Tamandua tetradactyla: one gene and its partners. The protein of the gene in region 1 interacts with the protein of each later gene in a biochemical or structural test. Links are inferred from orthologs where the notes say so. Each region holds a gene or a part of one and is shown on either strand. Other genes may lie near its edges.

Evidence for each region.
Region 2: the proteins of GRIP1 (region 1) and THRA form a complex in vitro, tested with the Homo sapiens proteins (2 studies listed by BioGRID). The link is inferred for Tamandua tetradactyla from reciprocal best matches to the Homo sapiens genes GRIP1 and THRA.
Region 3: the proteins of GRIP1 (region 1) and PPARG form a complex in vitro, tested with the Homo sapiens proteins (2 studies listed by BioGRID). The link is inferred for Tamandua tetradactyla from reciprocal best matches to the Homo sapiens genes GRIP1 and PPARG.
Region 4: the proteins of GRIP1 (region 1) and CARM1 form a complex in vitro, tested with the Homo sapiens proteins (2 studies listed by BioGRID). The link is inferred for Tamandua tetradactyla from reciprocal best matches to the Homo sapiens genes GRIP1 and CARM1.

Annotation. Positions count from the first base shown.
Region 1 is NC_135333.1:134,777,293-134,785,035, reverse strand, and holds the start of GRIP1 (glutamate receptor-interacting protein 1), read left to right. Parts: upstream 1-4,736; 5' UTR 4,737-6,588; coding exon 6,589-6,691; intron 6,692-7,743. UniProt on the Homo sapiens protein: May play a role as a localized scaffold for the assembly of a multiprotein signaling complex and as mediator of the trafficking of its binding partners at specific subcellular location in neurons.
Region 2 is NC_135332.1:27,215,021-27,222,609, forward strand, and holds the start of THRA (thyroid hormone receptor alpha), read right to left. Parts: upstream 3,001-7,589; 5' UTR 2,871-3,000; intron 1-2,870.
Region 3 is NC_135335.1:36,552,228-36,559,663, forward strand, and holds the start of PPARG (peroxisome proliferator-activated receptor gamma), read right to left. Parts: upstream 3,010-7,436; 5' UTR 1-3,009. UniProt on the Homo sapiens protein: Nuclear receptor that binds peroxisome proliferators such as hypolipidemic drugs and fatty acids.
Region 4 is NC_135337.1:90,987,307-90,994,975, forward strand, and holds the start of CARM1 (histone-arginine methyltransferase CARM1), read right to left. Parts: upstream 3,003-7,669; coding exon 2,789-3,002; intron 1-2,788. Other genes in the region: C11H19orf38 (protein HIDE1), read right to left, coding at 4,751-4,900. UniProt on the Homo sapiens protein: Methylates (mono- and asymmetric dimethylation) the guanidino nitrogens of arginyl residues in several proteins involved in DNA packaging, transcription regulation, pre-mRNA splicing, and mRNA stability.

The DNA of each region.
Region 1 (7,743 bases):
GCTTCATAATATGCCTTAAAGTCCGGCAGCGTGAGACCTCCAGCTTCGTTCTTTTCCCTCAAGATACTTTTAGCAATTCGGGGCACCCTGCCCTTCCAGATAAATTTGCTTATTGGTTTTTCTATTTCCGAAAAATAAGTTGTTGGGATTTTGATTGGTATTGCATTGAATCTGTAAATCAATTTAGTTAGGATTGACATCTTAACTATATTTAGTCTTCCAATCCATGAACACGGTATGCCCTTCCATCTATTTAAGTCTTCTGTGATTTCTTTTAACAGTTTTTTTGTAGTTTTCTTTGTATAGGTTTTTTGTCTCTTTAGTTAAATTTATTCCTAGGTATTTTATTCTTTTAGTTGCAATTGTAAATGGAATTCCTTTCTTGATTTCCCCCTCAGCTTGTTCATTGCTAATATATAGAAATGCTACAGATTTTTGAATGTTGATCTTGTAACCTGCTACTTTGCTGTACTCATTTATTAGCTCTAGTAGTTTTTTTGTGGATTTTTCCGGGTTTTCGACGTATAGTATCATATCATCTGCAAACAGTGATAGTTTTACTTCTTCCTTTCCAATTTTGATGCCTTGTATTTCTTTTTCTTGTCTAATTGCTCTGGCTAGAACCTCCAACACGATGTTGAATAATAGTGGTGATAATGGACATCCTTGTCTTGTTCCTGATCTTAGGGGGAAAGTTTTCAATTTTTCCCCATTGAGGATGATATTAGCTGTGGGTTTTTCATATATTCCCTCTATCATTTTAAGGAAGTTCCCTTGTATTCCTATCTTTTGAAGTGTTTTCAACAGGAAAGGATGTTGAATCTTGTCAAATGCCTTCTCTGCATCAATTGAGATGATCATGTGATTTTTCTGCTTTGATTTGTTGATATGGTGTATTACATTAATTGATTTTCTTATGTTGAACCATCCTTGCATACCTGGGATGAATCCTACTTGGTCATGATGTATAATTCTTTTAATGTGTTGTTGGATTCGATTTGCTAGAATTTTGTTGAGGATTTTTGCATCTATATTCATTAGAGAGATTGGTCTGTAGTTTTCTTTTTTTGTAATGTCGTTGCCTGGTTTTGGTATGAGGGTGAGCTTCATAGAATGAATTAGGTAGCTTTCCCTCCACTTCGATTTTTTTGAAGAGTTTGAGCAGAGTTGGTACTAATTCTTTCTGGAATGTTTGGTAGAATTCACATGTGAAGCCGTCGGGTCCTGAACTTTTCTTTTTGGGAACCTTTTGAATGACTGATTCAGTTTCTTTACTTGTGATTGGTTTGTTGAGGTCATCTATTTCTTCTTGAGTCAAAGTTGGTTGTTCATGTCTTTCCAGGAACCCGTCCATTTCATCTAAATTGTTGTATTTATTAGTGTAAACTTGTTCATAGTATCCTGTTATTACCTCCTTTATTTCTGTGAGGTCAGTGGTTATGTCTCCTCTTCCATTTCTGATCTTATTTATTTGCGTCCTCTCTCTTCTTCTTTTTGTCAATCTTGCTAAGGTCCCATCAATCTTATTGATTTTCTCATAGAACCAACTTCTGGTCTTATTGATTTTCTCTATGTTTTCATGTTTTCAATTTCATTTATTTCTGCTCTAATCTTTGTTATTTCTTTCCTTTTACTTGCTTTGGGGTTAGTTTGCTGTTCTTTCTCCAGTTCTTCCAAGTGGACAGTTAATTCCTGAATTTTTGCCTTTTCTTCTTTTCTGATATAGGTATTTAGGGCAATAAATTTCCCTGTTAGCAGTGCCTTTGCTGCGTCCCATAGGTTTTGATATGTTGTGTTTTCATTTTCATTTGCCTCGAGATATTTACTAATTTCTTTTGTAATTTCTTCCTTGACCCACTGGTTGTTGCAGAGTGTGTTGTTGAGCCTCCATGTATTTGTGAATTTTCTGGCACTCCGCCTATTATTGATTTCCAACTTCATTCCTTTATGATCGGAGAAAGTGTTGTGTATGATTTCAATCTTTTTAAATTTGTTAAGGCTTGCTTTGTGACCCAGCATATGGTCTATCTTTGAGAATGATCCATGAGCACTTGAGAAAAAGGTGTATCCTGCTGTTGTGGGGTGTAAAGTCCTATAAATGTCTGTTAAGTCTAGCTCATTTATTGTAATATTCAAATTCTCTATTTCTTTACTGATCCTGTCTAGATGTTCTGTCCATTGATGAGAGTGGCGAATTGAAGTCTCCAACTATTATGGTAGATGTGTCTATTTCCCTTTTCACTGATTGCAGTGTATTTCTCACGTATTTTGGGGCATTCTGTTCGGTGCAGAAATATTTAAGATTGTTATGTCTTCTTGTTTAATTGTTCCTTTTATTAGTAGATAGTGTCCTCTTTGTCTCTTTTAACTGTTTTACATTTGAAGTCTAACTTGTTGGATATTAGTATAGCTACTCCTGCTCTTTTCTGGTTGTTATTTGCATGAAATATCTTTTCCCAACCTTTCACTTTCAACCTATGTTTATCTTTGGGTCTAAGATGTGTTTCCTGTAGACAGCATATAGAAGGATCCTGTTTTTTAATCCATTCTGCCAGTCTATGTCTTTTGATTGGGGAATTCAGTCCATTAAATTTAGTGTTATTACTGTTTGGATAATATTTTCCTCTACCATTTTGCCTTTTGTGTTATATATATCATATCTGATTTTCCTTCTTTCTACACTCTTCTCCATACCTCTCTCTTCTGTCTTTTTGTATCTGACTCTAGTGCTCCCTCTAATATTTCTTGCAGAGCTGGCCTCTTGGTCACAAATTCTCTCAGTGACTTTTTGTCTGAAAATGTTTTAATTTCTCCCTCATTTTTGAAGGACAATTTTCCTGGATATAGAAGTCTTGGTTGGCAGTTTTTCTCTTTTAGTAATTTAAATATATCATCCCACTGTCTTCTAGCTTCCATGGTTTCTGCTGAGAAATCTACACATAGTCTTATTGGGTTTCCCTTGTATGTGATGGATTGTTTTTCTCTTGCTGCTTTCTAGATCCTCTCTTTCTCTTTGACCTCTGACATTCTAACTAGTAAGTGTCTTGGAGAACGCCTATTTGGGTCTATTCTCTTTGGGGTGTGCTGCACTTCTTGGATCTGTAATTTTAGGTCTTTCATAAGAGTTGGGAAATTTTCAGTGATAATTTCTTCCATTAGTTTTTCTCCTCCTTTTCTCTTCTCTTCTCCTTCTGGGACACCCACAACACGTATATTTGTGCGCTTCCTATTATCATTCAATTCCCTGATCCCCTGCTCAAATTTTTCCATTCTTTTCCCTATAGTTTCTCTCTCTTTTTGGAATTCAGATGTTCCATCCTCCAGTTCACTAATTCTAGCCTCTGTCTCTTTAAATCTACCATTGTACGTTTCCATTGTTTTTTCCATCTTTTCTACTTTGTCCTTCAATCCCGTAAGTTCTGTGATTTGTTTTTTCAGACTTTCCATTTCTTCTTTTTGTTCAGCCCATGTCTTCTTCATGTCCTCCCTCAATTTATTGATTTGGTTTTTGAAGAGGTTTTCCATTTCTGTTCATATATTCAGAATTAGTTGTCTCAGCTCCTGTATCTCATTTGAGCTATTGGTTTGTTCCTTTAACTGGGCCATATCTTCAATTTTCCTGGTGTGATCCATTATTTTTTGCTGGCGTCTGGGCATTTAATCAGATTTCCCTGGGTGTGGGACCCAGCAGGTTGAAAGACTTTCCTGTGAAGTCTCTGGGCTCTGTTTTTCTTATCCTGCCCAGTATGTGGTGCTCGTCTGTCTGTGGGTCCCACCAGTAAAAGGTGCTGTGGAAGACTCTCGCTGTGGGGGAGGGTCGCCAGCCGACGCGGCTTGGGGGGGTGACTATCCATATCTCCCAGCCGGCACAGGAAGCCACATGTGGGGGGGGGGCGCCGGCTGTCGTGGCTTGGGGGAGTGCTGATCCAAAGCTCCCAGGCGGCCCGGGAAGCCGCGCGTGGGGGGGGGGCGCCGGCCGCTGCGGCTTGGGGGAGTGCTGATTCAAATCTCTTAGCAGGCCCGGGAAGCCGCGCGTGGGGGGTGGGGGCACCGGCCGCTGCGGCTTGGGGGGGTGCCGATCCAAAGTTCCCAGCCGGCCTGGGAAGCCACGTGTGTGTAAGGGGCTCCGGTCGCTGGCCTCCGTGGCTTGGGGGACCTCTGATCCAAATGTCCCAGCCGGCCCGTGAAGCTGCGCGTGGGGGGTGGCACTGGCCGCTGCAGCTTGGGGAGGGTGCCTATCCAAAGCTCCCAGCCAGCCCGGGAAACCGCGCGTGGTGGGGGGCGCCGGCCACCGTGGCTTGAGGGACCTCCGATCCAAATCTCCCAGCCAGCCTGGGAAGGAGGGAGGGAGGGGCTCTGGCCGCCAGTTGCCACGGCCCGGAAAAGCGCACACCTCTCAGGGACCTCACCGCAGCGGATTCTCTTAGCCGGTTCAGCCGTTCCAGAATGGGGTACGCTGTGTTTCTGTTCTCTGTCGTGGCTCCAGGAGCTGTTCTGTACTGTCTCTATTTCTTTAGTAGCTGTTCTCGAGGAGGAACTAAGACCCGTGCGTCTTACTATGCCGCCATCTTCTCCGGACCTAGGTCATATTTTTTAATGCAACCTGCCAATCTGTCTTTTTATTTTGTAGCTGAATCCGTTAACATTCAATTTATTAATATAAAGGCAGTATTTCATTTTATTCTTTGGTTTTATCCTTTGATATGATAATGTCATATCTTATTTTTCTCTCTCTTTTTTATCCTTTCCATTTTCAATACTGGTAATTGTACATTTTAAACTTTCCTTCCAAGCCTCTTTCTCCTGTTTTTCCTTTCAGGCTGCAGAACAACTTCCTTTAGTATCTATTGTAAGGAAAAAATACTTGCCCTACAGGTTGTTTTGGGAAAACGTTTGTCAACATTTCTTATTGACAGACTGTTTCTGTTTATCTATGGGTATTTTAAACTTTCATTCATTTTCAAAGGACAGTTTTACCACATAAAGATTTCTTGGCTGGCAGTTTTTCTCTTTCATTATCTTTAATATATCATACCACTACTTCCTTGCCTCCATGATTTCTGATGAGAAATCAACACTGTGAGATGGATTACTTTTCTCTTGCAGCTTTAAGAATTCTCCCTTTACCTTTGGTATTTGACATTCTGATTAGTATGTGTCTAGAAGAAAGTCTATTAAGATTTATTCTGTTTGGAGTACATTGTGCTTCTTGGACACATATGTTTATTTCCTACCTAAGAGTTGGGAAATTTTCAGCTGTTATTTCCTCAGATACTCCTTCTGTACCTTTTCCCTTCTTGTCTCCTTCTGGAACACCCAAAATTTATATATTTGTATGCTTTGTGCTGTTATTCAATTCCTGAGAAAGTGCTGAATTGTTTCCTTTTTTTTCTTTCTCTGTTCTTCTTTTGGTAAGATTTTGATTGTTCTGTCTTCTAGTTCACTGATTCTTTCTTCTTCCTGTTCAAATCTGATGTTGTATGCCTATAGTGAATTTTAAACCTCTTCTGTTGGGCCTTTTATTCCCATTAATTTTGTTTTATGTTTCTTTTCATAATTTCAGATTCTTCATTATGGTTACCCTGTGACTTTTAATATCTTTTACCTCTTTGTTTGTATTTTTCTTCATCTCCTTGAATTTATTTGGGGGATTTGTTTGAACATCTTAGATTACTTGTTCCGTATTCTTTGTTTCCTCTGAAGTTTTAATTAGTTCCTTTGACTGGGAACTAATTAACAGGGCCATATCTTCCTGTTTCCTAGAATGGCTTATGATTTTTTGCTGATGTTTGGGCATCGGGTTATCTTGATGAGCTTTCTGTGAAGATCAATTTCTTGCACTGCCTGGGTTGTTACAGTTGATTGGCTTTGTTTTAATGTTCTTCTTTGACATATGGTTCAACTTATTCTAGTCCTTTAGAATTTCCTGTGTTTAACTGATCAGATGTGTTCAGCTCTTCTTCATCTGATTCTTGCCTTGGGTATGTGGCATTATTTTTAAGGTTGCACTATTTGTGCAGTTGTTTCACCCGCAGGAGAGAGCTCCCTTTCACCTATTCTTTCTCCAGAGATCTTGATATATTCTTTTTGCTTTTGTTTTGTTTTATCTCCCTATTTATTTTTGTATTCATTTATTTGCTTTTTACTCTTCTTTCATTGCCTCTAGCTGCTTTTGTGTGGATGCCAAATTCTGGGAAGAGGGTCCCTCCTGAGAGGACTTTCCTAAATCATTATTTCTCAGGTAAAATCGAGGCAGAAGCCCAGGAAGGGATTATATATTTCCAAAGAGCCTTGGAGAGAGGATCAGGAAAGACCCCTCCCAAAACTTTTTGACAGCCCCCCTAATTTGTACTTTCTTGGCCTGTCCAGAAGATGGCATGCTTCAACAGACTGTTCCCAGCAGCGCTAAGGAAGCCCTGTGTCTTTAAACCTCCACCACCATCACCATTGCCTGTTGTGGCATTGACACAATGGCCACAGTGATGTCTGCCCAAGGTGGGCTAACATCAGAGCTGGGACTCCGTGATCTAAATTTGCCAGTCAGAAGCTGTGATCAGTACTTGTCTGTGCCTTATCCCTGTTCTGGGGATGAGGGCTTCCACATCTGTCACCCATGGCAGCAGCCAGCGAGGGACCCACTCGAGGTGGCTGACCTTGAGAGTGGGGGATGGGCTTCCACAACTGCCGCAGAGTGAGTTACTCACAGTTTGTTACCATCGTTTCTCACTCTCTTCGTCCCGGTCTTCCCTGGATGCTCTACAGTGCTAGCTTCTGGAGCCCCAGGACAGTTGTTGCTAATAGTTTCTGCTTTTCCACTGGCTGTTTTGTAGGGAGAAGTGATTCCTAAAGTCTCATCTTCCCTGTCCATCTCAAAGCAATGCTGACTTCTTGAAGAAGAAAGAACTAGTTTCCTTAAGTGTGAACAGGTACAGAAACTCAGAATCATTTCTGTATCTAGGGGCTCTTTGGTTGAAGCCTTTTGTTTGATTGAGTACAAGTAGGGAAGAGCTCATCTTCCCACCTCTTTTTTCTCTCCTCCATCAGAAAGCAGCAGTACATAAATGTCATGCTTGAGCCTGGCATCCTTGGTGTTATCTAATTATCATTGATCTTTAACTCTTTATTGCCTATTACTCACATTCTCCCACTTCAATGTAATTTTTTGGGGAAAGAAAAAGATCTATAGCTTTACGCTTTCCTGTCCATGTAAATTAAAGTTCAGTAATAGATTTTAAAAAAGAAAAAAAATAATGTTTCTTAGAATCTTTCTTTGATTACTTAATATCTGTGATTTTCCCTACCTCCTCTCAAGGAGAAACCTTGAAAACTAACAGTTTAACCCCAAGAATTTCATTAAGGAAGGCCTGCAATATAAATTTCTTCAGAGAATACTTTTGAAAAATAAAGAATGTTTACCTTTCTTTAATATTTGCAAATTGTAGAAGTGAGTAAACACTACAATATAATTTATTCTGCTCTGCCACTTCAAAACCTTGTAAGTTTTCTTCAAAGGCAGTCTCTTCCCTGATTATAGAAAAGATTTAATAGGAAAAAGTACTCCTGTAGTATTGTAGTACATAGACTTTTTAACTTAAAAAATAGACTTTTAACTTAAAAACTACAGCACATTTACACTTTGTTATAAAATACTAAAATGAATAATTAAAACAGGACTAGAAATGTCAAAATAAATGATAACTCTGGGTTATGGTGCAGAGCTTTTAATATTTTTCATGCATTTTT
Region 2 (7,589 bases), on another chromosome or scaffold:
CCAACTCCCGCCACTACCCATAGGGGCGATTGTTTTCTAGCTGGGGTCGGTGTGGTGGGGTACCTCTCAATGGCTTTTTGGGAGCCAGCTAGCTGCAGCCTGCACACCAAGGGCTTCCACAAAGCTGGTGTCCCCTGGCTGAGCCTGCCAGCCTGAGGGGTCAGCATGGGCAGCAAATGACCCCCTTCCCTGCCCTCCCCTATTCCCAGCCCCCAAAACTCACTGGCCGCAGCTGCAGCACTAAGGAAGCGCAGGATGTCCTGAGCAGCCAGCTAAGCACCCCCCCCCAACCTCTTGCTGACCCCAGAGACAGGGCGGGAGGGGCAGTGGGGCGGAGTTTGCGCATTAACAACTGGAAAAGTATGAAGCCCATTACCGCCAGTGTCCAGCTCTGAGACAGGAGGCCGTAGCAGAAGCAGACAAGGACAGGGGTAGTCAGACAGGGGGAGAGAGAGTTACAGACCAGCATAGAAACAAGGAGAGAGAGAGGGAGAGTCAGACACAGCAAGACAGCCACAGAGAGACAGAGTCAGAGAGAAATTCCAAGTCAAAAATACACATTGCTCACCCAGATACTCACTAGCACACGTTTCCTAAGGAGAGCTTCCAAGCCGGGACAGGAGAGCAGAGGTGGGAAAAGGGGCCAGACTCTTGATAGGAGGCAGAACTCAAATGGGACTAAGTGATTGTCCCCAGGAAAGGCCCTAGCAAATAACCCATGGCAGAGACAGCTAGAACCCCCAGTTTGCTTTTAAGGTGGGGATGAGGCCGCTCCCAAGGAGCCAGCTCTCCCCCAAACAGCTCTTCTTCCAATAGTCAGGATAATCCCAGCTGGGAAGTCACTGGACATTGCTTGGGGCCCATAACTCGGCCCTCTGGAACCCCCCTGCTCCCACTCTCTTTGCTGTTGATGCTCTCTCCATCTCTTAAAAAAAAAAAAAGCCCATCCTCTTAGGACTCAGAGGGTGAGCCTAGAGGAGGAAGCTTCAGATAAAAAGTCTGTGATTGTGTATACGTCTAAGTGTGTGCCTGTCTACATGCACGATATACAATGTGTGCATTTGGGGCTGTCTGGACACCACTGTCAGTGTGGATCTGAAACGATGGACACCAGGGTCCGTGGGACTGTGTACAAATGAGTGCACCTGTGTCTAGAGTGCCCAGCGTCAATCAATTAACAAATGTTTACAGAGCACCTTTTGTGCCAGGCTCTACGGGGGATCCCAGAGCAGGTTAAGGAGCATACACTTAGCAGGATGGTATGACAAGCCATGGAGACAGAATGTGTTATAATGAATGCATGCCTTGCACCATTATGCAGAAAAGTCTTTTCACATGGGCAAATTTAATTTTCTTGACATCAGGTTTTTTTTTTTTGTATACAGAAACTCAGAGCTACACCATGAGAGTCCAGGAAAATACTTGTTGCTAAGTTGTGTATACATGTGTTGATGTGTAACTGCAGTTATGTTTGACTGAGTGTCAGCGACTGTCACGGCAGGCGATGATGTCTGTATGAGTGGGCTCATGCGAGCACGTGTGTGCCTGTGAGTGACAGGGTCTTTGTAATTGTGTGGCTGTGTGCAGTTGCTCTGTGTGCGTGCATGCATGCGAGGTGCTACAGAGGCTCCCTCTTGCCCCTGAGTGTGACAGCATCTCCCTGTGACTCTGTGCCTGGGTATGTGCATGGATCAGTTTCCCTGCTCTTGGTCTCCCGTGGGTGTGTCCTGCCCTCTGAGCTTCTACCATGCAGCAGCAGCCTGCCTCTTCCCTTGTCCCGGTGTGGGTGTGTCCAGCAGCTCCTGTCCTTGAATCTGCCTGGGTGTCCCTGGGTGTGCATGTGGCTGTCTGTGGTCATATCTCTGTGCTTGCATGTCACACTCGCTTACCCCCTCATCTTGGACAACAGCCCCCTTCATCCCCTCCCCCTCCTGGGGCCACAGCCAGCATTGAGGGGCAGGCTCCCATTCCACTGGCTTTCTTTCTATGTTCCCCCACTCATGAGGCTAATGGCTCTCTCCAGTACCCCATTATCCGTCCCCCTCTCCGCTACCGCTCACACTGAACCAGGGAGGGCCCAGAAAGAGAAGGGGCACCAACCAGAGACACGTTGCAGGGCGGGGAGGGCGGAGAGGGGAAGAAAGGAGGGGAAACACAACACAGGTCCGTTCCTCCCTCTTTTCTAGCCACTCTGCTTGCAACTCTCCATCTCATAGGGACCCTCAAGTACACCCCACTACCACACACACACACTCACAACGCTCCCCCCTCCCGTCGCGTTTTTGCAAATAGGAGTGTTGCAACCAGAGAACCATGTTCAATTGGAGAGGCGGGCGGAGTGGGGGGTAACTTCCCTCACCCCGGGCCCGTGCAAGCCCATCCCATCCCACCCCCACCGGACCCATACTGCCCTCCGCAGCCAGAGGCAGCTTTGCAAAAGCCACTCAGCCTCGGAAGCTAGGGTTGGGGGGTGGGGGGCAGGCCTCCGGCGCACCGTAAACAAACCGCGGCGCGGCGGGCGGGGGAGCTCCGGCCGGCCGGCAGCGGGGCCCGGCCCGGGAATGCGCAGAAGACCCGCCAGACAGAGGCCGGGCGGGCCCTCGAGGGGGAGGCCCGGACGCCATCTCCGCCGACGAACCCCGGGGCCCACCGACCTCCTAGCAACACCTCCCTTCCCCAGGGCGTTAAGTTGCATGCTCCCGGGCTGTGACAGGGTCACCCGCGCGCGGGGGAAGGCAAGGGCTGGCAGCGCGTACCCTCTGGGCGCCCCCAGTCCGCCCCAGAGCTGGCTATAGAGCCCCGCGGCTTTGCATAATCAATCGCGAGACATTTGCATATTAATGCCCCCCCCACTGGCTCCCTCCCCTTACCTCGGCGTGGCGCGCTGGACGGGGTTGGGCAGCGACGCGGGGGTCTCAGCGCCCCGTGCCGGGGGCGTCCATGGGGGGCCGATGGGGCCCGGGCCGCCCGCCTCCTGCGCCCGGGTGTGAGTGCGAGTGTGCGCGGGGGGGCGGGGGGCGAGTGTGGCGGCCCCGCGGCTCCTCCGGCAGAGGCGGCGGCCGCTCTGGCTCCTCCCTCCCCCGCCCCACTCCGGCTGGGGCTCGGGCTCGGCGCGCCCGGCCAGCTCGCGGCTGCTCCCTGCAGGCCGCCTTGCCGCCGCCGGCCCCCGCCTCTCGCCCCCCGCCGCGCCCCGGGACCCTGGCCAGCGGCCGGGCCGCCCCTCCGCCGCTCCTGCCCCCGCCCCCGCCCCTCTCAGGCTCGGGCCTCCCCTCCACATACACACAGCAGACGTCTCCGGGAGGAGTGGTACTTGCTGACATATTTGGGAGAAGATGTTATTTTAAAAATAGCCTTTGCTGGGAGATTTGGGGGTTTTAGGGTTTGCACGGGGGCGGGTTACTAACGTGCCACCTGCGCGTTATAAGTCGGAGCTTATAAGCTAAACGCTTAGAGGTTCAGAGTTTGTTTCGGAGTTCGGGTCCCTTCTCTGCCAGTAACTCACTGTGTGACCTTGAATAAATCACCACCGCTCTCAGCTTCCTGCACCTTAAAATGAAAGGAATGGGCAGGTGACTCCTGATGTCCATTTAACTTAAGTCATCCTGCTCTCAATCTTTTTGGGGATTATCACTACATTCCCCATGTTCTCCTCCCCTCCCATTTCTAACATCATTACGGGATCTGCTGGTTCCCCTTTCAAATGTCACCCTCCTCCATTATATATTTTTATTCATTGTCATCAGCCTTCCCCCCCCCCCCCCCCCGACAATCCGCAATGCCTCCCCACCTCCCCACAGGTTGAGCTCCAGGAGGGGGCCAGACTTGCCATACACCTGAACTCCCAGCTTGACAGGGGTGGTATTTCCTCCCATGTTTGCCCCCAACAAAATCCAAATGGTACCAAGCGAGTATAAAAGGAGGGTGGGCTATATAAACATGGACCCCCTTTTCCAGAAGGGAGGTCTCTATCGTGCCAGCCCCACCCCCCATAGATGCACACACACACACACACACAGACACTTGCCTTAAGGACCATCCCGGTGACGCCAGAGCCCCTTTCATGTCAGGATCTCCCAGAGCTCGGCAGAGCTCTAATTACCCCAGCACCCACCCTGGCCCCGCCGGTTCCCCTGCTGTCATTAGCCCAGTTTTACCAGCGGGGGCCACAGCCATCCCACAGCTCCCAGGGCGGGGCCCTTTCTCCACAGTCTGCTCTCGGGGAGTTTGTGTGTGTGTATTAGGGGCAGCAGCTCTGTTTATTGGGCAGAATCACATGCTGAGGTGTGGGGCTTTGACCAACAACCCAGTGAGGTGGGGCCACCTTTGCACATCTTAGTCTCAGCCCCTGGTACCCCTAGCTCTGTTGGAACTATTCCTCTTACCAGGGCTATTGGGGTCTGCAATGCATGGGGGTGGGGCCACTCTTGTGGCTCCCAGGTCCACAGGGTTGAGAAAAGCAGCTGAGATGAAATCCATGGAGTACATAGTGGGGGTGGTGTTGATGGCGGGAGTACAATGGGCAAAGGGGACCTGCAGTGTGCAATGTGGCAGCTGCAGTGAAGAATTAGGCTGCAATGTGCTGTCAGCACACCATTAGTGAACCTGTGGGTTCCATCTGGACTTCCAGTGGGTATGCAGAAGCTGCAGTGTGGGGCAGGAGGCTGCAATGCAGAGTCAGCATGCAGTGGAATTGCAGTGTGCAGTGTGAGGCGCACTGAGGGTGGCTGTCTGCCAGTTGCTGCCACCTCCTCCAAGTTCAGGTTTGGTTGAAACCCTAGGGAGCTGGGCTGCAGTGTGCAACCCTCAGGGTGCAGTGCTCTGCCCTGCATGGAAATTGTCCCTTGGGATTGGGCTGCCTGAGGATTTGGGAGAGAATCCCAGCACATGAGATACACTTATACTCTGCAGTGAACCAGGCAGACCAGGAGGCAGTGAAGCGGCCCCAGCAGTAATCGGGCTTAGGGGTGGAATAAAGGGGTCTAGAGGGAGAAGAAGAAGGGCTGTGGCTTTGTCTTTATTCCATCCTGGCTTGCTTACCACATCTCTCTTTGAGCCAGTTCCTAAAGATGTTGGGTAAAGGAGACATTTTTAAATCCTAGAGCCAGAGCTGTAGAAAGGAAGCAATTCCTGAGTTACCTTTCCCCCTTGCCCCCCCCCCCCCATCTCAGGGGCAATGTAGGGCATCTTGAACTCAAACACAAAGAACTCACCATTCCCATCTTTTCTTCTTACTTCTCTCTCTCTCCTTGGCTCCCAATATGGGCTGGTGGCAGACTTAGGCAAAGGCAAGGTGAAGGACACACTGCCTCCAAAGCAGGCATCTTGCCAGGTGCCAGGAGCCAGCCCAGGTTGGGTTTACAGCCCCTGCCCCTGGTTGCACTATCCCCCTTCCCAACCCCACTCTCTTACCCACTCCCAGTTTCTTGAAGCTTCCAGCTCTTCTCAGATTCTGTTCAGTCCCAGCTCCTGTTCTCTACTGGCCATGAACCTCACACCAGGTCTCCATTGGCACCATCCCCTCCCATCCCCCTACTTCGCTTCACAGCAAGCCCTGGGTCTGTGGGGAGAGAGGGAGGGTGGAAAATGAGTGAGAATAGATAGGGACCCTCAAAGGGGATTTGTCTGACAGCCCCCTCCCTCTTAGATTTTGGTTGCCAAGGAGGCAGCAGGAACAGCCTGTTCTCTGGGCTCCCACTGAAACAGCATGCCCAGACTCCTCCCTCTCTTCCTCCCTTCTTTCCTCCCTCCCTTCCTTTCAGCTGTTGCTAGGAAGCACCCCAAGATTTCTTGAGGGTCCCACCCCTAGGAACCAGGGGGTCCAGATATCCTTCTCAAAGCTTCTCCCCAAAACTGGCATCCAAGCCCGCACACAGTGTCCTCATCCCTGCCAAGAAGCCTTGCACATCCCAAGCAGTTTAGGGGAGCAGGGACAGGCCCTCTGCCAGTCAGCCCTGGAACGAGCTCTGTGGCCCTGGCCTTGGCGATTTCCCTCCTCCACCCCTTCCCATCTCGCTTGAACCTCTTAGGCTCTGGGTGATGTCAACATGTGGTAAGGAGGTGTACAGCAGATACCCTTTGGCTCCACAGACACAGCCCCACTCATTGGGGTGCTCTGGAAATGAGACACCATCAGCTAAGAGAACCCCAAACCCAGATGTCTCTCTCCATTAGTGTTCTCCAAATCAAGAAGAGATGATGGAAATGGAGAGGAGAGGGAGAGGGAAAGGTCGAAACAGTTATGTGGAGTTGAGAATCAAAGGTCCAACAAAGATGAAGGACTGGGAAATTAGCAAGCAATCACGCAGACAAGAGGAAAGTCACAACTTTACACTTAATTCCCCCCTTTCAATCACCTTTGTCCCATCAGGCACCCTGGTCCTGGCTCATGAAGAGGTGCCCAGGGAAGGGATTTGGGTCTTGCTGAGCCTTGTTTTTTCCCTAGCTGAGGTGAGAAGTGGAAAAAGAAGATAATTTCTCAAGGCTGCCTTTCAGATTTATCCCCCTGTATTCATTCACTGAACATATTTTTTGAGTGTTTAATATGTTCCAGATATTGGATCCCCCAAACTTTCCCAACTTCTGTTTTTGCTTTCCCAGAGAGCTCCCTTATCCTTCCCTTTGCCAGCAGAAGAAAGAAGTGGCGGGGAGGTCTCTATTTCCATCAGGGTCTGCATCCCTGCTACAAGAGTTGAAGGTGAAGATGAATCACTTTGGTGTTGAGGCAGAGTTTAAGAAGAAGAGTTACAAGGGCCTGGAGGGAGGGGTGGTGCAAAGAAAGTAGCAGACTGGCCCCCCTTCCCTATCACTCTCCCCCTGTGTGCTGGGGGCGTGGAGGGAGAAGGTGTCCTCCAGGGTGTTAGAGAGGAAACAATTCATGATTAGTTCAAATTCTGCCTTTCACTGTCCTGGCCAGTCTCTTTCTGGACTTCTTGTGGGAAGTCAGGGACAGGGAATTGTGGGGAATTCAGGGGCTGTCCTTGAGATGGAGCCACCTTTTAGGCCCCTCCACCCTCATCTTTTCTCCCAGATAGCTGGAAAGCTGTGATTTGGATTTGGGAACTGATGGGGGAAGGAAAATGGTTTGGAGCCAGCTGTGTATATAAGTGTGTGGGATGGACTCGTTTTCTCTTCCCTCCACCTGCTGCCAATTAACTTCCTATAGTGGTGAGACCCAGGCAAGCTTCTAAAGAAAGATGTTCCTGTTAGGGGAGGGTAATGGCAGTTTTCCGATGGAATGAAAGTAAATGAAACCCTCTGTGCCTTGTATGCTTGCCAAGTATTTCAATCTTTCTTGGGCTTTTGGGGCTAGACACTTGGTTCTTTTCTCTACTAGCCTAAAGTGTTTCCTTTCCCTTGGATATCCCAAATCCCTGGGCCTCACAGCCTTTTCCCCCATCCCACCCCCACTTTGATCAAGCTCCTTTTCTGCCATTGCTCCAGATGTTGCCATGTTATTCTGCCTTGCTGTCCCCTCTTCTCCAGCCAGATCCATTCCCCCGCCAGTCAAGCCAACAAGATGAGGAAGTTGGGGCTCAGGGCTAGGGAAGCAGAGGTGAGAACACAGCCACTATCAGAGCTGAGAAGGAATG
Region 3 (7,436 bases), on another chromosome or scaffold:
TAAAAAAAAAAAAGAAAGAAAAAAAAGAAGACGACGACTTGCAGTAACCGAACACGTGAATACACCAATGAGTCAAGACCTCCATTTCCAAATATTTGGGAGAGGCGGGAATAAACACCAAAAGGACCAGGCCTGAATTGGCAGGCCAGGAACTATTAAAAGAGCCAGCTGTGACAAAATGTTGTGTCATAATGTTGTCCACTGCTTTGGCAAGACTTGATATATTACAAGGAAAACATTGCCACACTGTCTGGCCAGTGACCCACATGCAAAGTGTCTTGTGAGGGGCACAGACCATAGAGTCTTGAGAATTATCAGAGCACAGAGGTGGTTCGATAATCAGATGCTTCTTAAAAGGTACACTTTAAATCTCCATGTTAAGACATGCCGGGTAACTTTATTTGGACAAAGTTTCTTCTAGCTGCTCAGCTTCTGGTTGAATTATGAATCCCCTCATCTGAAGAAAACTTTGGAACTCAAATATGTAATCATCTTTTTATTTTTATTTTTTTCTCTCTATTATCGTTTTATTTTTTTCTGTTGTCTTTCTATTTCTTTTTCTGAATCGATGCAAATGTACTAAGAAATGATGAATATGCATCTATGTGATGATATTAAGAATTACTGATTGTATATGTAGAATGGAATGACTTCTAAATGTTGTGTTAATTTTTTTAATTAATAAAAAAATAAAAAATAAATAAAAATAAATAAATTTGGTATCAGCACGCCACTGAAACGTTATATCTGTAAGGCATTCTACTGCTTTTCGTAGTCCCAGATGACACTGCCTGCTGCCCAAATTCTATAAAATTAAATAGCCGAGAGAACGGAGACAAAGCCTGACACTCACTAAGGTTTTACTTATCGGGTTTACATTTTTAAAACTTTCAGCTTTATCCATCAGTGACAAATGCAGCAATATTGCATCAGCTGATGTTTGAACACCAGGTGATGTTTAAATGATAAGTGCCATGTCATAATGAAAAAAAACAAAACAAAGACCAAAAAAACCACTCTCTTCACTCTCTGTGAAGAATAGCGCGTTACCAGAAAAAAAACAGAGAGTGACGCTGATAGGCTGGCGAGGAATTGTGGTCAGTTTTGTAATCAGGAAAAAGCTGGCTTCTTGCTCAAGGCCTTTGCCCTTTTTGGCAAGGAGAAATGCTAGCTGTGCCAAATGCCTAATGTGGGAGCAGGCCTTTTCTTGTCACATAAGTGGCCCTAATAAAACTGCAGTGACTTGTGGACTTAAAAAGATACCCCCACGTACGGCAGAAAATCAGATGGCAATAACCCTGTTATACTTACCCCAATTTTCCCCACATGGAATATATATATAGTTCATCTACATTCAGTTTCTCAGGTTAAAGCAAGTTTCTTGACAGTCCAAATGGCTGAGGCATTTCTAGTTGTGTAGAACTAGTTTTAGCCATATTCAGTGTGAATTCTAAATAAACACCTTGCTCCTTCCCTCTCAATGCTGGGAAATTTATTTATGTTACAAAGTAATCCCGACACGATGACATAATATTTGAGGGTGTGGTTCAGTGTAAGATTCTTGATTGGATTTTGGGTGAATCAAAGTAAATTATTAAAGTCAAGGGTGCTTTCGTTCTTTCTAATAAAACCGAACAAAAATTAAAGTGTCATTCTGCCTACAAATACTCCTCCTCAAGGTTCCAAGATGTGTTTGTGTCTGGTAGGCAAATTACAGCCGTATTTACTATTAAATGGCAGTATACAAACCAAGCAATATACAAAGCAACCCAAGCCACTCACAAAATGTCGATACAATGCAGACTATCTGATCAAATTTCATATTAAATTTCATTATAATATTTTGTCTTACAATACTGTAGAGTGAGTTTACTTCAAACACAATTTGCTCACATAGGAAAAAAATGGACCAAAATCAACTGGGCCAAATAAATTGAGTAAAATCCATTTCCATCTAATTACAGACTTGTTGGGTTCTTAGACACTGAAAAGATTTATTTTACATCTATCCATCACTTGTTCATTCAACATTTGTCAAATGCCTACTAAATTCCAGGTATTATTCTAGGCATAGAAAATAAATACATTAATAAGCCAAGGTTCCTGTTCTCAATGAGTTCATATTTCAGTGTATTTATTAAAGTTATCCCAAATACACCTACAAGAGTGATCTCTTAACTGATTTTAACTTCTGAATGCCAATTATCATGCATATATATCAGAAATAGTATATTTGCTTAAACAAAGTCTTTCTTATTGGTGGACAGCGTGTGGTCACCAGAAAATTCATGAGATTACACATGCATGTGAGTATTTCTACCATTATAGTTTCAGCTTTCCCAGCATCCAATTCTTTATAATAAAAAAACCTGAAGATATTATAAGATGCTTTAAAAAATGATTTCATTGGAATGGAATCATGGAGGTTTCCACCTAACCAAGGAAACCTCTATATAGAAGTCTACTGCTATTCTGTACAGAAGCCCCTAGAAGGAGAGTCCTTGGTAATTTTATGGAGTAAGGAGTGGTGGTAAAAGAGCCACCTTCCTTAGGCACCATGCACAAAAGCTAACTCAATTCCTTCTACTGAGGGATGTAGGGCTCTGCATGATCTAGAGGTTGGGAAGGCAGCTCTTCATGAACTTCTGGATATCTATAATGTATGTGGTTATGTGTATACTACCAAACCGGCAGGAGGAGATAGAATGGGGATAATCAGGAATGACTATTCATGAAGAGGGTGAAAAGTTTATTTAACTCTATCCTGGTTCATGAGTGTGGAAAACACTTGACAGTCTAGTGTTAGACTGAGATGAGACAGCTACTCTTTGATATTTAGTCTTCAATATTACTTTATGGAATCTGTCTTTGACCAAAAGGAAATAAATAATACTCAGTCCCCCAAAACAAACTCCTCCAATTCAGTACCTTTAGGAGAAGGCACCTAGACTAATAAAAGTGAATGATTTGGGGGGTGTGAGGGTAGCTCAGTAGTAGAATTCTCAGCTGCCAAGCAGGAGACCCACGTTTGATTCCCAGCCCATGCACTTCCCAAACAAACACAGAAACCAACAAAAACAACAAACAAACAAAAAATTCAACAAAAATTCAACGGGATACTCACATGGGAAAAGAATGAAATGTGACCCCACTGTACAGTATACAAATAAAAATCATTTAAAAAAATGAATGATTTTTTATTAAAAAGGCAGAGAAAGCCTAAAAAAAACCCATAGTTAACAGAATCACTGTATTTTATCTGTACGAAGTTCTCCCCCCCCCCCAAGTATTGTACAGTGTTTGGCATGATTTAAGTCAAAGATCACCATGAAACAGGATCTATATACTTTTATGTTGGGTTATTCTTGAAAGCTAATTAAAATTTTGCTTTTTAGCTACAACTTAAATTTGGATTTTATCCTCTAGATTGGATTTTAAAAACTGCTTTCAAAGCTCTCTTTTTCTTACATGTAAACTTTGGATGGATCGGTATATAATATTACCTAGAGTCTTATTTTCTTTTGCTATCAACCCATTTTCAAAAGTTGCTCCATTAGTGAGTGTTACTAAAACTTAGGCTCCTCCTAAAAGTTTAGGAGCTCCTTGAAAGAACAGCATCTTGCTCCTCTCTGTATCTCTGAAGTCTAGCCCAGTGTCCCTAGTTGGCATAAAAATACATGTTTATTGTTTTTATTGATGTGAATGATGACAGGGCAGCTGCTTGCCACATTCCTCTCACATGGATTATTCAAGGAGGAGCTGAGAGAGCTAATGGACCAATAACAGCATCAATCTTCTTGCTCGGACAAGACTTGAATTTCCCTGTGGTGCTCTCTCTGGAGGAAGTGAGATAATTGCTAACGACCAGCATGACTGCTGCAGCACATGCCTCCCCTTACCCAAAAGAAGTGCTGCATTTTTCAAGTGCAATTAAAGTTGGCTTGGAACCTTGTCTTCTGCTGGTGGTTGCATCAGTTCAGGGTTTCTTCGGAGTCAAAGGGCAGACAACATGGGAAGAATGATGTGCCAATGGGACACATGCCTTTTAGTGGAACAAATAATCTGTCTTCTTAGAAGTAAATTCCACCACCACCCACCCAGCAAGCTGAGTCTTCCCACAGAAAGACAGGGGATGGCCAGTACCAAAACAGACACGTCTCATTTGCTTTTGTCTTTTTTGGTAGAGAAATTCATTCTTCTTTAATCACGAACTCTAATTTGGTTTCAGAATTTTAAAAAGAAACGTATTTTCGATACAAGATTAATATTTTAAACCACTATGCCATCTTGATTTTCAATACTAACAGAATGAAACTACGTTACCTTGAAACCAACAGTTTCAGTTGGTGTGTGTGTATATATATATATATATATTTTTTTTCTTCAGTTGGTGTATAATTGATCTTCAAAATCCTGATTCAGATTCTAAAGTCCTAAAGCTTTTACCTGGGCTCAGCCACAAATCTGCTGGGTCCTTTCGCTGGTCCACACGTCTCACCTATAGTGTAGTCCATCGATAGTTGGTCCAGATGTCTCACCTTTCTGCAAAATGGATTAATCCTTAAAGCCCACTGGGGTCTGACATTGAGATGCCTACAATTATTTTACTGGAAGTTGAATAGGTATTCTGTATATTATATTCTTACTCATGTTTGAATTCTGAGTTTTCCTTTTCATATCTGACTGGTAATTAGGGGACAGTATAAAAGGTACTTTTGTCTGGAAAAATAATGCCCAATAGTAAAACTCTCAAAAAGAAAAATCAGTTGAGAATTTCCTTTTTTTCCCCCCCATTGCCTATAGTACCTGAAAAAGAGCCTAACGTGTCTGACCACTTCTAGGGATCAATTAAAAACTTTTCAAATTATTGTATCTTTGAACCAAAGAAGTCCACCTAAAATATGCTGACTTGTCTTTGCAGGTAATTTTTAAAATTCTCTAGTAATTGGGTTTCCATAGGCTATATTTTCAACCGACCCATAGGTATGTTACGGGAAATGCGAAACCTCTAAAATAGCTAGCTATCTTCTTTGGTTTTCAGATTTTATCAATTAATTTTTCCAGATTGGTTATATAGAGATTTCCTGGGTAACCTATCCAGTCATTGGTGAGCCACGTCTGTAAGGGATGTAACCCACAGATATCCTACGAGCAAGCTTGGTGTGCTTTATGTAAAGTAAGCAGTTTCCCCGTTCTGTGATCCTGCTAAAGGAAACCGACTATTGAAATCTCAGACTCACAAAGCTTAATACCAGGAAGGTTACACATATTCGCTCTTAGTTTTTCATGGAGGGAAAAATGGGTTCCAGAGAAATTCAATCAGTTTGCCCGACGTTATGACCCAGATAGAGAATAGCCGAGTTTGAGCCAGAAATCAGGTTTCTTGATTCCAGTCCAAAGCTCTACACTGTGCTCTCCCTCATTAAATTATTACAATGAAACGTTCACAGGAATTGTTCCTATCAGGGATCCTGAATGCCAACAAACATGTAAGAAGTTCATCGGCATAAAACCATTTGTATTATATGACTCAATAGGGACGCATGACCCACAAAAATATGAACGGTCACCCCGCAGTTCAAGGTCAGTGAGTTAGGATTTGGTAATATTTTTATTTTGCTAATAAATGCCCTTTACTTCATTCCTATGTTCTTCATAAGCCATCATAGAATCTTGGGGATCTTTTGGTACCAACAGCTTTCTACTGACACAGTTCCTTGGCCTTATGAAAATAATAGCATTATTATGTGAAAATGTCCACTTTGAGGTAACAATGCCCCAATTTAAAAATACCTTAGATGGTGACTGCATGATAATTCTGTATTTTTGACATGATTTTTCTTTAAACCCATGACTTCTCAAAAAAAATAAATGAGACATAACAAACCAAAAATACCTTGCCTGTATATTATTTAATTCAGCTGATACAACAATGTTAGGAGATTACTGAAAGCAAAACAAGAAAATAATAGCAGCTATTGAATAGGGCTGCAGCATGGAATAGATGATTTTTTTGGCTGTAAAACTCTGCCCATAGGTCTTTGGTCAGTATGGCAAAAAGAGTCAAATAGACCTGGATTGAATTCAAGCTCTGTCACCTACTTTGGACTTTTAGTTTGGGTTTTTTCATCTAAGAGAGTAATTATGAGACTTAGAGGATATGATTTAAATAAATCAGTGCCTGCAACAGAGTAGGTCTCAAAATTAACATACTATGAATTCTTCCAAGCAAAATTTAAATTTGACTGGACTAATAAAAAATCAATCCAATGGCACTTAATTAAGAAAATAACAAAAAGAGCAGTCACCAAGTAACCCTCCCATTACTTTTGTGTTCAAATGAGCTACATAAATAATTTTCAGGCAGGTAGGGTATACAAGTAGCATATGGAATCTTCAAAAACAAATATGAATTTTAAAAGTCCACTCAGAAGAAATAGACACATTCAAGCCACAGCTGTAGTCAAAGACATTTGATATAGAATAAAATATATCTGTGAAATTCATACATAAAACTGAATTTTAATGAAAATTAAACAATGGGTAGTACGGAAAATATTTTTGGGTCTATTTTCCATTAAGGGTCATCAATCCATCAATAGTAGATTGGGCCAAACTAAATGTTTACTGTCTTCGTTAGATGCATATTATCAAAATAACAGCATTATATTTCCACTCCCCAGAGCATTATAAAATCGGTTCCATTCTAGGGCTCTACATTCTGATCTATAGACTCTGTCTTAAAACATTAGTGAAAATTAGCAGACTGATAAATATAAACTAGCTTTAAGACTCAAATTTCACATTTATTGAGCACCTACTCTGTCAGGCGCTCTGCTAAGTGTTTTAAACTAGAACATCTTATTTTGACCATAAAAACGACATGGGCTTGACAGGTAGCTCCCTCTTTTTTGCAGAAAGGAAAAGGGTGAGGCCAATGTCAGGATTAGATAATTGGGCTATTACAGACCAAGCAATAGACACAAGTGTCATATAACCAGGGATACAAAGATGAGTAAGACTGGGTCTCAATTCTCAAGTCACTTTCCTCTTTTTAGTGAAGAGGAGTAAGACAAGTATAAATCACAGTACTGCAAGAGAAAGTAGGTGAGACTTGAGACAAGGACAAATCATAATGACCAAGTTATTGTAGTACCTTTTCTTTGTGTCAAGCCTCATGTAATATAGTACCACCAATTTTTATCCCTTATCTCTAGTCTTCATAACAACCTTGTGAAATAGGTGAGTATCATTAGTTTACAGATGAGGAAACTGAGCCTCAAAGAATTTAAGTTATTTGCTGAGGTCACATAGCTAAAAAGTGGCAGGAAGAGATTTAAACCAGATGCAACTAAGTACCAAAGAGGTTGTAGAAAGGACAGGTCCCTGCTAATGGAGAGTAGGGATGGAAGGAATCTGAAAAGACTTCAGGGAAG
Region 4 (7,669 bases), on another chromosome or scaffold:
TCACGATGGGCAGAGAGTGCACAACAGGGCTCCTGGTGCTTTTTCGATGGCGCCAGAGGATCCAGATGGGAAAATGCTGCGAAGTGGGGAAAAAAGTACATCTCCAGAGAAGGCTTAAAGCTCCACGAAGCCAGGTTCACCCCCCAAGTCATAGGACTGGGGTGGGTGATAGCCCCCCCCCACCCCAGATGCCTCAGCCTCCAGGGGCTGGACGACCTCTGAGCTTTCCCAGGGCTATCAGCCTGCCCTCCCTGCCCAGCTGGCCGGGCCTGCTCTCCAATCCTCCACATGCAGGCCCCGTGCCCCAGCCCTGGGACTTTGCAACCGTCCTGCCATACTTCAGAGCAATTCTTCCCTGGGTCCCGTACTCTTCTGTCATCTCAGGGATGAGTGCCACCTCACCCTATGCAGAAACCCAGCCAACTTCGTGCCCATCACAGCCCAGAAGGGGGCCAGATGCTACTTCCAAAGTAAAGGCATGTGCTTATCGAGCAAACACATGGGCTCACCCAACCTCGTCATCGGCTCCATCTTATCAATGAGGAAAGTGAGGCACAAAGTTACACAATTAGTAAAAACGGCAAGACACGGGTCTCACACATGGGGCAGACTGAATGGTGCCCCCCCTACACACACACAAAAAAAGCAGCTCCAAGCCCTCACCCCCACAACCTGTGCAGGGGGCCTTATTTGGAAAATGGGTCTTGGCAGATGTAATGAAGGATTTCCAGACGAGGCTGCCCTAAATCCAGTGACGGTAGTCCTTATAAGAGGTGAGCGTACAGAGAAACAGGAGAGAGGACCATAGGAAGACAGTGGCAGCGATGGAGAGAAGTGGCCACAAGCCAAGCAAAGCCTGGAGCCCCCAGAAGCTGCACAAAGCCAGGGAGGAACCCCTGACCCCCCGTAACCTGCAGGGGGTGGGGGGTGGACGGTCCCACCAACACCTCCATCCTGGGCTTCTGGCCTCCACAACCACCAGTTTTAGTTGTTTTAAACCACCAAGTCTGAATTACCTTGTCCTGAAGGCCCTAGGAAACTAACACTCCCAGGTGTGGCCAACTCTGAACCCAGGTTCTCTGTTCCATACCAACGGTGCTTGAACGGACAGGGAAAAGCTTCTTTCAAACCCCATGAAAAGGTATCAGCCTGAACCAAGGAACTCAGTTTGAGAAACACAGACTTTCTCCTCTTTAAAAGCCTTCTTAGCTAGGGATTATCTCTAAAAGAGAAGTGTTATCTTTCTAACTAGTAACATTTTAAAAAGGACCAACAAGACTAAAACACAAGATGAGGAAACCCTCCAGGAGTAAGATATCACTAATCCAGGTGATTAGATGTCAGCTGTAGAAGATGCTCTGTGCTATCTTGCCAATTATTCTATAAATCTGAAACCATTCTAATATTAAAAAAAAAGTATTAAAAAAAGAAAGATAAACTCTCCTGGGACTCTTTGACAGTAAGCCTTTTGTGGATAAGTCCTGGGACTCTAGTTTGAGGAAGGCAGCCCTACTTTTTTCTGTTCAGGACAGAGTTAGCCACAAGTGCTTGCCCAATGAATGGATCTGCTTATGATCTGGGGATCCTGCCCAGGTTAAAATGGAGCTCCAATGTCTGTCCAACTGAGCTCCGATGCCCACTAACTACACCTTCTCCTCCCCTCTCCTCGTCTGGTTCAAGAAGACCCCAGCCCTGTCCAAGAGAAGATAGATGTGACAACTGAGAACCAGGCACAGCTCCTTTGATCTGTTTTTTCTTTTTCAAAGCCACGGTGTGAGCCTACCACTCTCTGGAATGACTACTAGGTCCCCAAAGTGGCAATAAAGTCACACAGACCAATGCAGGCCAAAGGACCCTGGCAGACAAAGCAGAATGAAACAGAATAGCAAAACCTGAAGGAAGACTGGCAGAGAAGAAAAGAAAGTAACAAGAGAAAGAAAAAGGATGAACTACAAAGACTCAGGGTCCTTGGCAAACACCTTTGTGATTTGCTGTGTTCCCCCCTCCCGCCCCCACTGAAATGTCAGTTCTGAAACCGGCTTCTGAAATTGTATCCAGTTTCTCACAACCCCCAGGAGAAGAGAAGAGGACCGCAGGGAGCGAGGAGGCCCCCTTACCTCTTACTTGCCATCTGGGACGGGCCCTCCCGGTGCACACTCCCACCAGGAGCCCCTCCTGAGACCCCCTCCCCGGACCTAGGAGTTTCCCCCTCCTCGATCCTGAACGTCATGCCCCAACCCAGGAACTGAGCTCCAGGAACCAGTGTGCGAGACATTTTCCAACTGTCTTCGGCAGGCCCCCCACCCGGAGCCCCCTGAGAGGGCCGGTCGCCCCCCAGCCCACCCTCCGCCCCCTTAGGCGGCCACACCCGGCCCCGCGGCTCCCACCTCTCCCACCGCCGCGGCGCGCCTCTGCCCCCCAGTCCCCACCCGCCCAGCTGCCCCCCCATTCCCCTTCCACTCTCGGGCCCCCGCTTCCTGCCCACCCCCTCCCAAGTCTCAGGCCCCCACACGCCCCCGTTTCCCGCCTGCCTCCTCACTCCGGGCACCTCGCCTCGGGCCACCGCGCACGCCCTCGGGCTCTCCCCGTCCCCGGCCACCTCCACACCCCTCCGCTCGGGACCCCGCACCCCACCCCGGCGCGAGGCCCTCACGGCCCGAGGCCCCGCGCCCTGGGGAACCCTGGCCCGGCACCGCGGCCCGGCCCTCCGGCTCGGGGACCCCCGCGGCGGGCCCGGCCTCGTGCGCCGCCCCCCGCGATCGCCCGGCCCCGGCGGCCCCGCACTCACGGCTGTAGAGGGCGATGCCCGCCGCGTCCGGGCCGGCGCGCACCTCGAGGCGCAGCGCCTGCTGCTCCGCGTGCCGCTGGATCTCGCCGTTCGCGTCGCCGATGGTGAGGAGGCGGGCGCCGGGAAACACGGACATGGCCGCGCAGGGCCCCGCGCCGCCAGCGCCCACCGCCCCCGCGCCGCCCGCGCCCGGCCCCGCCGCCGCCGCTGCCATCTTATATCCGGCTCCAGGCCCCGCCGCCGCCGCCGCCGCCGAGCCCGGGCCCAGGCCGCCGCCGCCGCCGCCGGTGCCGCCGCCGCCGCCGCCGCCGCCGCGCAGGCCGAAGCCGAGGCCGAGCCGGGCAGCGCCGCCTGCCGGCCACGCGCCGCCTCGCTGCCACCGCCGCGGCCCGGCCCCGTGGCGCAGCGCCCCCTGCCGGCGGCCCCGGGCCCAGGAGAGAGCACGCCGCGGGGTGGGGGTGGAGGGGACGGGCCTCACGCACGCGCACCGGGCCCCGCCCACCGCGGACGGTCGCCGCTTTGTGAGGTGGCTCGGAGCGGGGCGGGAGCGTGCGTCACGGGGCGGAGGCTCAGCCGCGCCGTCACGCCCGCGAGGCTTGGCCCCGCCTCGCCGGAACGGCCGCCCTTTGTCCGGTGGCGTGGGTGCCCCGGGGAGGTGGGGGCGGGGCTCTCCCGTGCGGACACGCCCCCGCCCCGCCCCGCCCCGCCCCAACGGCCACGCTTCGTGAAGGGGCTCGCCCGGCGCGGGCTGGACGGAGGTGGGGCTGGGCGGTCCGGACACGCCCCCGCGCTTGGGCTCCGCCCATCATTGTGAGGCCTGAGGCGCTCCGGGAGGGCGGCAGTGGGGAGCGGGCGCAGGGTTTAGGGGCGCACCCCCTGCCCGTGGCCCCGCCTCCAGCCCGGCGGCTGGAACAGAAGATTGAGAAGGGCTTGGGTGGGCGCAGGGTCCCGACGCCCCCTTCCCAGCACCGGCCGCACCCCGTCCCCTCCTCCCCGGGCTGCCGCATCACCTCCGTTCCCTCCCCACAGCCCCTTTCTCCATTCCGGGCCTCTCAGTTTCTCCTTCCCCCTAAAAAGATTACCTCAACTCCCACCTCTATATGTCCCCTGGCCTCTCCCTTTCCCCAGGTACCCTCCCCCCTCAATGACGAGGCATCCCGCAGGGTGGGTCCAGCGTCCCCCCCACTCCTTCCGAGCCCCCTCCACTGCTCGGCGGCCACACCCCTTTTGGGGAGGTCCGAGGGGGCCTGTAGTCACTTCCGATCCTCCGAAGCGCCCACCCTTACCCGCACCTTCTCATTTACTCCTCATTCGCCGCAATCCACCCCTGTCCTACACCCCACCCCACCCCACCCCTGCCCCATCATTCCTTCTCTTGCCCCCACCAGTGCGAGCGCCTTAGGGAGACCCCTCCGCGTGCACCACCCTGACAGCAGCCCAGGCCACACGCACACGCCTGGGCCCTTCATGCTCTCCCCACACCCACCCGCAAGGTCCCAGGCTGGAAGGATCACATCCTACAGGGGGCCTTGGAAACACCTCAAAACGTGTTATAATAACTTAGGCGTGCCAGCAGGGCAGGCACACAGGGCACACCCAGGTACCTATGCTCCAAAAGCCCAGGAGTCCAGTGCCCAAGTGGAGGGGTATGTGTGTATGTGTGTAGAGCCCAGGCCTCCGGTCTCCTTCCTTGGTGGTATTCAGAAGTTGGAAATCCAGAGAGAGCCTTCCTGCTCCATCCAGCCTCCAGACCAGTGCCCAGGCCCCTGCCCCCCCATGAGGAAGGCGCCAAGGCCTGGGGGGGCCCCATCATCTCTGGTCAATTCCCTGAGAAAGCAGTAGCCTGAGCTCCCCAGAGGAGCTGAGGGCGGTGGGGACCTCAGGCCCCCAACAGGCTGGGCCAGCTGGAGGGAGAAGGGCTGAAGGGAGGGTGCTCAGACTCCAGAGGCTCCAGCCTTGGCTTCACTGGCAGGACCGGAAAGTGCTGAACTCAGGGGGCTCAGGGAATGACGAGGTGGACGTGGGCCTCTTCCGGGGCCCAGAGCTGCCGGGGGCTGCGGCAGAGCCAGGGTGGGCCTCCAAAGTGGCTGTGTCATCTTCCATAGTCATTTTCTTCATCCCAGAAAGAAAAGAGGGAGAGAACAGGGTGACTAAAGGTTTCAGGATCTCGGATTTCCCTCCCTTTCTGAGCCTCCCCCACCCCACCCCCCACTTTGCCTTCCCCCCCAACTTCCACCCTCTTCTGGGCTTCAGTCCCGCTGCCCTGAGCCCAGGACCAGATGGCCTGAGTTCAAATCCCAGCTCCACCACTTCTTGGCTGTGTGACCTCAGCCCAGTGACTTAACCCCTCTGGGCCTTAGTTTCCCCTTCTACAAAATGGGGAGAATGCTAGTACCCACCTCTTATTAAATACAGCAGCCTGGTGCATTGTAAGTGCTGTTCATTAAGTGAACAAATCTATTACTGATAGCTCCTCTCCCTTCCCATTCCAAACTCCCTCAAAAGTCTATCCTTCCTAGGTCAAGTCTACTTAAAATTTAGGACTAAGAGTCACGCCCAAGAGAGCCTCTTTTGTTGCTCAGACGTGGTCTCTCTCTCCAGCCAATACAACAAGCAATCTCACCACCCTCCCCCTGTCTACATGGGACATGACTCCCAGGGGGTGTGGACCTTCCTGCCAACGTGGGACAGAAATCCTAGAATGAGCTGAGACTCAGCATCATGGGATTGAGAAAAACCCTAGAATGAGCTGAGACTTAGAGAAAACCTTCTGGACCAAAAGGGGGAAGAGTGAAATGAGACAAAGTGTCAATGGCTGAGAGATTCCAAACAGAGTGGAGAGGTTATCCTGGAGGTTATTCTTACACATTAAGTAGATATCACCTTGTTATTCAAGATGTAATGGAGAGGCTGCCAATAGCCATGTTTCTTGAGGATGATTGTATAATGATATAGCTTTCATAATGTGACTGTGTGATTGTGAAAACCTTGTGTCTGATGCTCCTTTTATCTACCTTATCAACAAACGAGCAGAACATATGGAATAAAAATAAATAATAGGGGGAACAAATGCTAAAATAAATTTAGTTTGAAATGCTAGTGATCAGTGAAAGCGAGGGGTAAGGGGTATGGTAAGTATAATCTTTTTTTTTTCTTTTCTGTTTACGTTTTATTTCTTTTTCTATTGTCTTTTTATTTCTTTTTCTGAATTGATGCAAATTTTCTAAGAAATGATGAATATGCAACTAAGTGATGATATTGTAAATTACTGATTATATATGTTAATGTTTTATTTGGTTTGTTAAATTTTTTAATAAATAAATTTTTTTTTAAAGTCTATCCTTCCCCCTTTACAATAATCCTTTTGATAAAGTCTCTCCTTAGTAAAACAACAAAAAAAGCCTACCTTGTATGTGTTCAAGGAGCATGATATTTAGAAAACAGATTTACTGTTTTACTGTAATACAGTGAAATACAGATGACTATATATCATATTTTAAAAAAATTAATAAATAACTTTTTCCCAAAGTCACCAAGGAAAAATTCACTAGGCTGGTATGTGAAGCAGAATGGCTTGTGGTGGAAAGTATTAGAATGTGCCAGGCCTGGGGCCAGCCTGGGCAAGGCCCCTTCCTGTCCATCTGTGGATGAGTGGCTGAGTCTGGGTTTCCAGAACTGACCCCTCTCAGGAGCTCCAGACTCACGTCTCCATCTGCTCTTGGGTACTACCGGGTGGGGTGATGCATCCCGTGGTCTCATCCCCGCAAGCTTGCCTCTGCCCCAGGACTCCCTACCCCGGGAAAGGGCAGCTCCCTTGGGAGCCATCCTAATCTTGCCCTGTCTCACACTTCCCTCTCTCCTTTGGCCTCCCTCATCCAACCCCAAAGCAGTCCTGCTTCCACCGTGACCTGCCTCCCTCTGCTGCTTCTACCTCCACTGCCAGCACCCTGACCCCAAACATCCATCACCTTGTGTGCCTGGACCAGTGCAGCTGCCTCTGCTTTCATCTCCTACCCCCACAAGCTGTTCCCCCCACTGCAGCCAGAGGGCACCTGTGAGCACCTGAGTCAGGGCACGTCCTTCCTCTGCCCAGAACCTTCCATGGCTCCCATCTCACTTGGAGCAAAAGCCTAAGTCCTCCCCAACTCCTTACTCCACCTCAGATTCCTGGGCCAGGCCAAGAACAGCTCCTCAGCCTGAATCAAGCAAACTGGCCCTTCACCTCCTCGCTCCTCCTTACTACCCCATCTCAGAGAGGCCTTGCCTGAGCTCCCATCTAAGTCGCTTCTTGGCCGCTCCCTAACTTGTCGCTCCATTCCCCACGGCACCATCCGTCTCTCCCGTGCACCGGAAGCTCTGGGGGAGGAAGCGAGAGCCTTGTCCCATTCTCCCCAACGCCCGCATGCCCGAGAAGTGTGGGTCAAACACTGCCCTGCCGGGATGCTGTTGGCCTAGTCTCTGCCTGCCCACCCAGTGCTCCCCAATGGCCAAATGGAAACATCCATTTCTGGGGTCACCATTGTGGGGTCACCTGTCCTCTGGGTGGGGAGGAGATGGCTGAACATTTCCTCTATCCGTGGTGTTCAAAGGCCAAAGATATGTCTGATTTAGTGTAAAACCAACCAATGAACAAACATTAAAAGGTACAAATGCCAAGGCCACCCCAGCTGCAGCCACACAGTGGAGTCCCACAGCCCGGGGTTCAAATGCCAGCTCTGGTTGCCTGCCCCCTAGGCCAAAGGTAGCCCTTCCTCATGCCGGGAGAGGAGTACAGCGTGCCTCGCACCCACACAAGCCTCCAGGACCCCAGCGAGGCCGCTCCTCTCCCCCAGGCCACCCGGACCACGAGCCCATCCCGTCGGAGTGCAGCGGTGACGCTGA